2 linked regions of the Sus scrofa genome follow. The protein of the gene in region 2 interacts with the protein of the main gene of each other region in a pairwise test. Links are inferred from orthologs where the notes say so. Each region holds a gene or a part of one and is shown on either strand. Other genes may lie near its edges.

Evidence for each region. The genes of interacting proteins can lie anywhere in the genome.
Region 1: the proteins of EHHADH (region 2) and DES interact in binary tests that used the Homo sapiens proteins (3 or more experiments, as listed by UniProt). The two-hybrid records come from large-scale screens. The link is inferred for Sus scrofa from reciprocal best matches to the Homo sapiens genes EHHADH and DES.

What each region holds. Positions count from the first base shown.
Region 1 is NC_010457.5:121,427,196-121,431,433, forward strand, and holds the start of DES (desmin), read left to right. Parts: upstream 1-1,406; 5' UTR 1,407-1,447; coding exon 1,448-2,028; intron 2,029-2,914; coding exon 2,915-2,975; intron 2,976-3,097; coding exon 3,098-3,193; intron 3,194-3,309; coding exon 3,310-3,471; intron 3,472-3,637; coding exon 3,638-3,763; intron 3,764-4,154; coding exon 4,155-4,238. UniProt on the Homo sapiens protein: Muscle-specific type III intermediate filament essential for proper muscular structure and function.
Region 2 is NC_010455.5:123,148,568-123,152,212, reverse strand, and holds part of EHHADH (peroxisomal bifunctional enzyme), read left to right. Parts: intron 1-3,073; coding exon 3,074-3,185; intron 3,186-3,645. UniProt on the Homo sapiens protein: Peroxisomal trifunctional enzyme possessing 2-enoyl-CoA hydratase, 3-hydroxyacyl-CoA dehydrogenase, and delta 3, delta 2-enoyl-CoA isomerase activities. Catalyzes two of the four reactions of the long chain fatty acids peroxisomal beta-oxidation pathway.

The sequences.
Region 1 (4,238 bases), on a different chromosome or scaffold from region 2:
TTATAGTCGAGGACACAGAAGAGGAGGACTTGCCTGCTTGTAGTATGTCTGCTGGTGATGGCAGAGCTAGCGTGCAAGAGCAGCCCTCAATTTCCAAGCTTTGCATTCCAAAAGGGTCAGGCCCAAGAGAGGCCTGCAGAGTGCCAGGTGGAGGTGTCCAGAGACAGCCAGGATTCGTGGAGAAGTGGGAATGTCCTTAGGGTCAGCCAGCACCTTGTCCTAAGGAGCCTGTGGAAGACTGGTCAGCCCTTCTGGGGCTCCATTGCTGCTGGGGGCATGGAGCATTATGGGGGTGCAAAGCAACTGGGGCTCATCACCCCAGCCTTCCTCCACCATCTGACACTCAGGTACCCGGCCCCCACCCCCAGAGCGCCTCTCCGGTGCGCTTTTTTTCCCGGCCTGATGCATTCTCCTCTATAAATACCAGCTCTGGTATTTCGGGTTGGCAGCTGTTGCTGCCAGGGAGATGGCTGGGTTGACATGAGGCTCCTGACAAAACACAAACCCCTCGGTGGGTGCGGGTGTGGGTGGTGTGAGGAGGGGCATGAATCAGAGGCGGGAGGTGGGCTCGAGGGGAGGAAGCCAGGCAAAGTTAGTGGCATGGGGGTGAGAGTATACAGTTATAATTGTCATCATTGGAAACTGAGAGCCTTCTAGCCCCTTTCTGGAAATCACTGTTGTTTATAAGCTTGAGGCCCAAGCCCAGAGGGAAACTGAGGCTGGAAGGAAGCTGGCACCCCAGTGCTAGCAGACATAACCCAGCAGGCAGGTCTGGCTCCCATTGCTCCTTGTCCCCGGGAAGCCCTCCCAGCCTTTCCACCTGTCCAGAGACCCTCCTCCTCTCAGCCTGGCTTCTGGACTCCTGGTCTTTGCCTGAGCCCTCCTAAGTGCTTGCCACATTCAGAGAATCTTGAGAAAAAACGGGTGATTTGGAGCCTTTCTTTAGAAACAGGCCTTGCTCGACATGACCCAAAATCTCTCCTGGGAGCAAAAACGAGTCCCTGTAAGTAAACATTAGCCTCTCCCCGATCACCCCCAGGAGGAAGCCGGCACCCCAAAGGCTGAGAGGGGGCCCCCCTTGGGGTGCCAGACGTGCTTGAGCCCTGGCCAAGCGCTTGGCTGGCCTGCCCATCTTCTGCCCTTCTAGGTCCATCGTTCTCTCCCACACCCTTCAGGGGCCCCCCTACCCGCCGGCCGAGGGGGCACAGGCCTCTTGCGGGGGAGCTGGCCTCCCCGCCCCCACGCCAGAGGCCGCCCTTTCCTGGCAGGACAGCGGGATCCTGCAGCTGTCAGGGGAGGGGCGGCGGGGGCTGATGTCAGGAGGGATACAAATAGTGCCGTCGGCTGGGGGCCCTGTCTCCCCTCGCCGCATCTACTCTCCAGCCGGCCGCCCGCCGCCGCCGCCGCCTCCTCCTCCGCGCCGCCCAGCCAAGCCCGCGCCGCCACCATGAGCCAGGCCTACTCGTCCAGCCAGCGCGTGTCCTCTTACCGCCGCACCTTCGGCGGGGCCCCGAGCTTCCCGCTCGGCTCGCCGCTGAGCTCGCCCGTGTTCCCGCGCGCGGGCTTCGGCACCAAGGGCTCCTCGAGCTCGGTGACCTCCCGAGTGTACCAGGTGTCGCGCACGTCGGGCGGGGCCGGGGGCCTGGGGCCGCTGCGGGCCAGCCGGCTGGGGGCCACCCGCGTGCCCTCCTCATCCTACGGCGCGGGCGAGCTGCTGGACTTCTCGCTGGCAGACGCCGTCAACCAGGAGTTCCTGACCACGCGCACCAACGAGAAAGTGGAGTTGCAGGAGCTCAATGATCGCTTTGCCAACTACATCGAGAAGGTGCGCTTCCTGGAGCAGCAGAACGCGGCGCTCGCCGCCGAGGTGAACCGGCTCAAGGGCCGCGAGCCGACCCGGGTGGCCGAGATCTACGAGGAGGAGCTGCGCGAGCTGCGGCGCCAGGTGGAGGTGCTCACCAACCAGCGCGCCCGCGTCGACGTCGAGCGGGACAACCTGCTGGACGACCTGCAGCGGCTCAAGGCCAAGTGAGGACCCGAAACCCCCTCTCCATGGGCTGGGGCGTGGGAGGCTAGGCCTAGGACTGGATCCAGTTGTCAGCACCCAGGGAGAGGAGGGTTGTTGCTGTGTTCCCCGAAGGGGAGGGACGCCTGGCCTTTCCCTTTGCTCGCAGTCTGCAGAGGAGGAATCTTCTTGCAGACATCATGAGGAGGAAAGGCGAGACCTGGGAGGACCAGGTGCCTTTTAAAAAGCATCTTAAGATGCTGGGGTGATGTTGCTGGGAGTCAGGTATGTAGGTGGAGAGAGGAGGCCCAAGTGCAGTCAGAGAGAGACTCTCAGCCCATCTGTGATGAGGCCCTGGGGCTGGGGGTGGAGAGGGGATCTTGGCCCCTGGGCCTGGCTGAGGCTGTACAGGGGGACCGGATAAGCTAGAGGAAGGGGGAGAGTGCCTGGGGGGTGCAGCTCTCAGCAAGCTTGGGAGGACTAAATGGTGGGCTCCACCAGGCTCCCAGTACATAAAGGCAGCAAGTATAGAGCAAGGACTCATGGGTCCTGCTTTTGGTGGCCCAAGAGAACAGAGTCCCTGTCCTTCCACCCAGGTCACAAATGTTAAGTGAGCACCTACATGGGTCAGGCTGGGGCTGGGGCCTGGGAACACAGAGGTGGATAAAATAGACACAGTTCTTAATCCCAGGGAGGTCACAGTCTGGTGGGGACAGAGGCTTCCAGGGTGTGGCTCCAAGGCAGCGATTGGGCCACTTCCTGTCCCCTCCCTGTGTGGGCAGGGCCTCCTGCCTCTACCCAGCAGCCATGCCTCCTCTGTGCTAAGCCCATTCTCTGGGCAGCCCCCAGACAGTCTTCTTCATTGCCACTTTTGTCCCTACCGTCTGTCCTTCTGTCTGTCTCGGCCAGGCTGCAAGAGGAAATTCAGCTGAAAGAAGAAGCCGAGAACAATTTGGCTGCCTTCCGAGCGGTGAGTCCTCTTTGGTCCCCCAGAAGCCTTGCTCCTTCTGTCCCCTGCTGCATGGGCTGTAGTCTCTCTCTGCCTTGCCAGGCTGATCAGTGACCCTGTCCCTCCCACCTGACCCCTTCCAGGATGTGGATGCAGCCACTCTAGCTCGAATTGACCTGGAGCGCAGGATCGAATCTCTCAACGAGGAAATCGCGTTCCTTAAGAAAGTACACGAAGAGGTACGCCCTGGTGAAAGCAGGTGGAAATGATGGGACCGGTGCTGGGCTCTGGGAATCGGGGTGTGAGGGTACGTTTGGGGCTTGGCCGGGGACTGAAGCCCGGCCGTACCCTGCAGGAGATCCGAGAACTGCAGGCCCAGCTTCAGGAACAACAGGTCCAGGTGGAGATGGACATGTCCAAGCCAGACCTCACCGCCGCCCTCAGGGACATCCGGGCTCAGTACGAGACCATCGCGGCTAAGAACATCTCAGAAGCCGAAGAGTGGTACAAGTCAAAGGTGGGACTCTGGCCCCTCCGTGCCCCTCCATCCCAGTTTGGAGGTGCTTCCTGTGGCTCCATCTATGGGTAGGAGGGTGAGCCTGGGGTCTCTATGTTCCCTTGCTCACCCCTACCTGTGTCCTGCATCCTCCCTGTCATCTCAGGACCCCTCTCTCTGCCCTTAGGTGTCCGACCTGACCCAGGCAGCCAATAAGAACAATGATGCACTGCGCCAGGCCAAGCAGGAGATGATGGAGTATCGCCATCAGATCCAGTCCTACACCTGCGAGATCGATGCCCTCAAGGGCACTGTGAGTCCTTGGTCACCTCACCTGGCCCAGCCCGCACCCTCACTTTGTGACCTCAGGCCCATCACATCCCCTCTCTGGGCCTCTCTCTCCTCAGATCTGTCACAGGGGTGAAAACAGACAGGTGGATGTCTGGAGGGGCTCCTGCATGGCCAGGAGAGGGGGGGTGTGAACAGCCGTGCTCCTTTTTATCAGTTCTGTTCTCTGAGTTTCTACATAAGTCTTCTTTTGAGTTCAGAGTTCCCTGGCTCAGAAGAGTGACAAGCCCTAGATGTGGCCACCATCTGGGGTTGCCTCCCAGCCCCAAGCTGGAAATTTCCCCATCCTGGGCCCGAGTGTCCCCTCTGGCCACAACCACAGCCTGTCCTTGACCCTGGGCACCCCTCCCCTGCAGAACGATTCCCTGATGAGGCAGATGCGGGAGCTGGAGGACCGCTTTGCTAGTGAGGCCAGCGGCTACCAGGACAACATCGCACGC
Region 2 (3,645 bases):
CACTGTTAACATTCTGTTTTATTTCCTTCTGGTCTTTTTCCTGGGTAATATCTTTTTCTTACAGTTTTGTTTTTCTTTGCAACCTTTTAATTAAAAAACCCCCAATATTTGGAATTTTATTCTCCTTCATTTGAACTCTATTTTTATACTAATAGCATGTTTAAAGTGTTATTAAATAGTCTTTATCCATTCTGCCAATATCTGCTATTTACATTTAACATAATTATTTATAGTTGCCATTTTGCAATTTATTTTCTGTACCTTCTTTTTTTGTTATTCCTCAATTCCTCCACTAACACTCTTGTTTGTGTTAAATAGATATATTCTAGTGCCCTTTAACTTCTCTTATTATTTCTTTTACTGTGTATTTTTGAGTTATTTCTTAGTGGTGATTGCCCTGGGGATTATAAATAACATCTTAATTTATGACAATCTAGTTCTGATTAGTACCAACTTTATTTCAATAGTATGCAAAACATTTACTCCCATACGGTTTTGTTACACACTCTCTTTATGCTGTTATTGTCATAAATTATATCATTATGGGAGTTCCCGTCGTGGCGCAGTGGTTGACGAATCCGACTAGGAACCATGAGGTTGCGGGTTCGGTCCCTGCCCTTGCTCAGTGGGTTAAGGATCCGGCGTTGCCCTGAGCTGTGGTGTAGGTTGCAGACGCGGCTCGGATCCTGCGTTGCTGTGGCTCTGGTGTAGGCCAGGGGCTACAGCTCCGATTAGACCCCTAGCCTGGGAACCTCCATATGCCACGGAAGTGGCCCAAAGAAATAGCAAAAAGACAAAAAAAAAAAAAAATTAAATAAATAAATAAATAAATAAATAATATCATTATACATTGCATACCCATCCACACAAAAATATAATTATTACTTAATGTGTTGGTCTTTTAAATTAGATAAGAAAAAAAGAGAAATTACATACAAAAAGTTACATTAATACTGTCTTTTATATTTATATATATAGTTACCCTTTAACAGTATTCTTTATTCCCTCATGTGGATTTGAGTTACTGCTTAGTGTCTTTTCATCCTGAAGAACTTCTTGCAGAGCAGATGTACTAGCAGCAAATTCAGTTTTTATTTATCTGAGAATGTCTTAATTTACCTTCATTTTCAAAGACTAGTTTTTTCTGGATATAAAATTCGTGGTCGACAGTATTTTTCTTCCAGTACTTTGAACATGTCATCCCACTGCCTTCTTGCCTCCATGGTTTCTGATGAGAGATTTGCTGTTACTCTTATTGGAACTATTTCTTAAAAATACCACTTAAAATAGTTGCATAATTTTTTATCTTTATATGTTTACCATAATTTATTTAACCATTTCCCAGTGTTGTTTTAATTTTTATAAAACACAAATAAAAACACATATCCTAAGTGTTCCTTGTTCTGTGTTCCTCATACCATAACCTTCTGCATACTGAATGCAGATCTAAGTTACAAGCAATCATAATAAATCATAAGGGGAAAGAAAGGGGTAGCCAGTGATGGGAAAAATGGTGATTGACTGCTAGGGGAGCATCGTATGAGAGAAGCACAAACGTTCCAGGTATTTTGGAGCTATTGGCATCACAATTTGTGCAGATGGCAGTCTGTATTTAAGTACCCTCCTTCTCCTATCTTTATACCTGGGCAATGACTAACACACCTTTGGCCACTTTTAAGGCTAGGAGAGACATATGATGAAGGACTCAAGCTCATCCTCTTACCTAGACTGAGGTTACTGCCTGAGTTCCTCCCTCCTTTCTTTCTTTCTCTTTCTTTCTTTTCTTTCTTCCTCCCTTCCTCTCTTTCTTTCTTTTTCTTTCTTCCTTTTGTAATAGCTTTATTGAGATACAATTCACATACCATATAATTCCCTTATTTAAGGTATATAATTCAATGGTGTATTAGAATACTTACAGAGTTATACAATCATTATCACAGCTGATTTTAGGATATATCATCACCCCCAAAAGAAACTTCACACCCTTTAGGAGTAACCCACCATTTCCCTCTCCTCAAATCCTAGCAATTACTAATCTACTTCTGTCTCTATGGATTTGCCTATTCTATACATTTCATGTAAATAGAATAGAAAAGGCAATATATTGCCTTTTGTGTCTGGCTCTTTCACTTAGCATAATATTTTCAGGGTTCACTTGTGTTATAGCATGTCATCAGTATTTCATTCCTTTCCATGGCTGAATAATATTTTCTTGTATGGATACACTATTTTCTTTATCCATGCATTACTTGATGGACATTTGGATTGTTTCTCCTTTCTTGGATTTGTTAATAATGATGCTATGAAATTTGTGAACAAAGGTTTTTTTTTTTTGTGGTAGATATTTTCATTTCTCTTGGGTAAATATTCAGGGGTAGGACTGCTGTGTCATATGGTAACTCTATGAAAAATTGAAAAATTGAGAGATTGTTTTCCAAAGTGACTGCACTACATTACATCCCCACCAGCAATGTATGAGGGTTTTGTATTCTCCACATTCTCTCTCAAACTTGTTATTGTCTGTCTTTTTTATTATAGCCATCCTGGTGGGTGTGAAGTACTATCTTGTAGTTTTGATTTGCATTTTCCTGATAGCTAATGATATTGATCAGCCTTTCATGTGTTTACTGGCCATTTGTTTCTTTTTGGAGAAATGTCTATTCAGATCCTTTGTCCATTTTTATTTGGGTCACTTGTCTTTTTGTTATTAAGTTACAAAATTTCTTTATGTATTCCAGATATGTGGTTAGCAAATATTTTCTCCCATTCTATAGGATGTTCTTTTAATTGCTTGGCTCTTTCAGGGCTCCGTAAAGCTTAGCCATTTCATAATAGAGTCAGAAATATTATGTAAGAAACTATGGATGTGTTTCAACATGAAGGCCTAGGTAGGGACAGAACAGCTCTATTTATGCTATTAAAGAGAGGGTGTGCACTAATTTGCTCTGCAGAAATTCTTGTTGGATTATATGAAACAATGTTTTTGAGGGTGTGGGAACCCCAGGGGAATGCTTGCCTTTACTCTGAACATATCATCTCATTCCAATGACCTTTATGCTTCAATCTTTGATAGGCTCAAGTTGGCTTTCCAGAAGTCACACTTGGAATCCTTCCTGGTGCAAGAGGAACCCAGCTTCTCCCCAGACTTATTGGAGTTCCTGCTGCACTTGACTTAATTACCTCAGGTCAGTACAAACCCAACCAATGGCTGTTTAGATCAATGTGAGGAACTGGCCTAACATTTAGAAAAATCCTGGCTTGACCATTCCATACCCATGTAATCTTAAGAGGATACTTTAAGTTCTTTGATATCAATTTTCTTATCTGTAAAACTGAAAGACTACCTTCTCTGAGAGCTTTTCAAAAGTTACCATAAAGAAAAAATGAGTGCTCTCTAAAACAAAGTGTATACAAAGCTGTAATCACAGTTAAATGTCTACTCATAGACACTCATGTTCACATAGGGTACATTATACTCAGATATAATTCAGAAATTGTAATATAAACAAGAATTAAAATCAGAATTTCCAAGGAAAGTTTTCAAGTTTTAGTTTGGAAATGACTGAATTTTTCACTTCCTTGGTATTAAGACATTGGCTTCAATAGGGAATGTGAATAGTGTAACACTAGAAAACATTTAGAGAC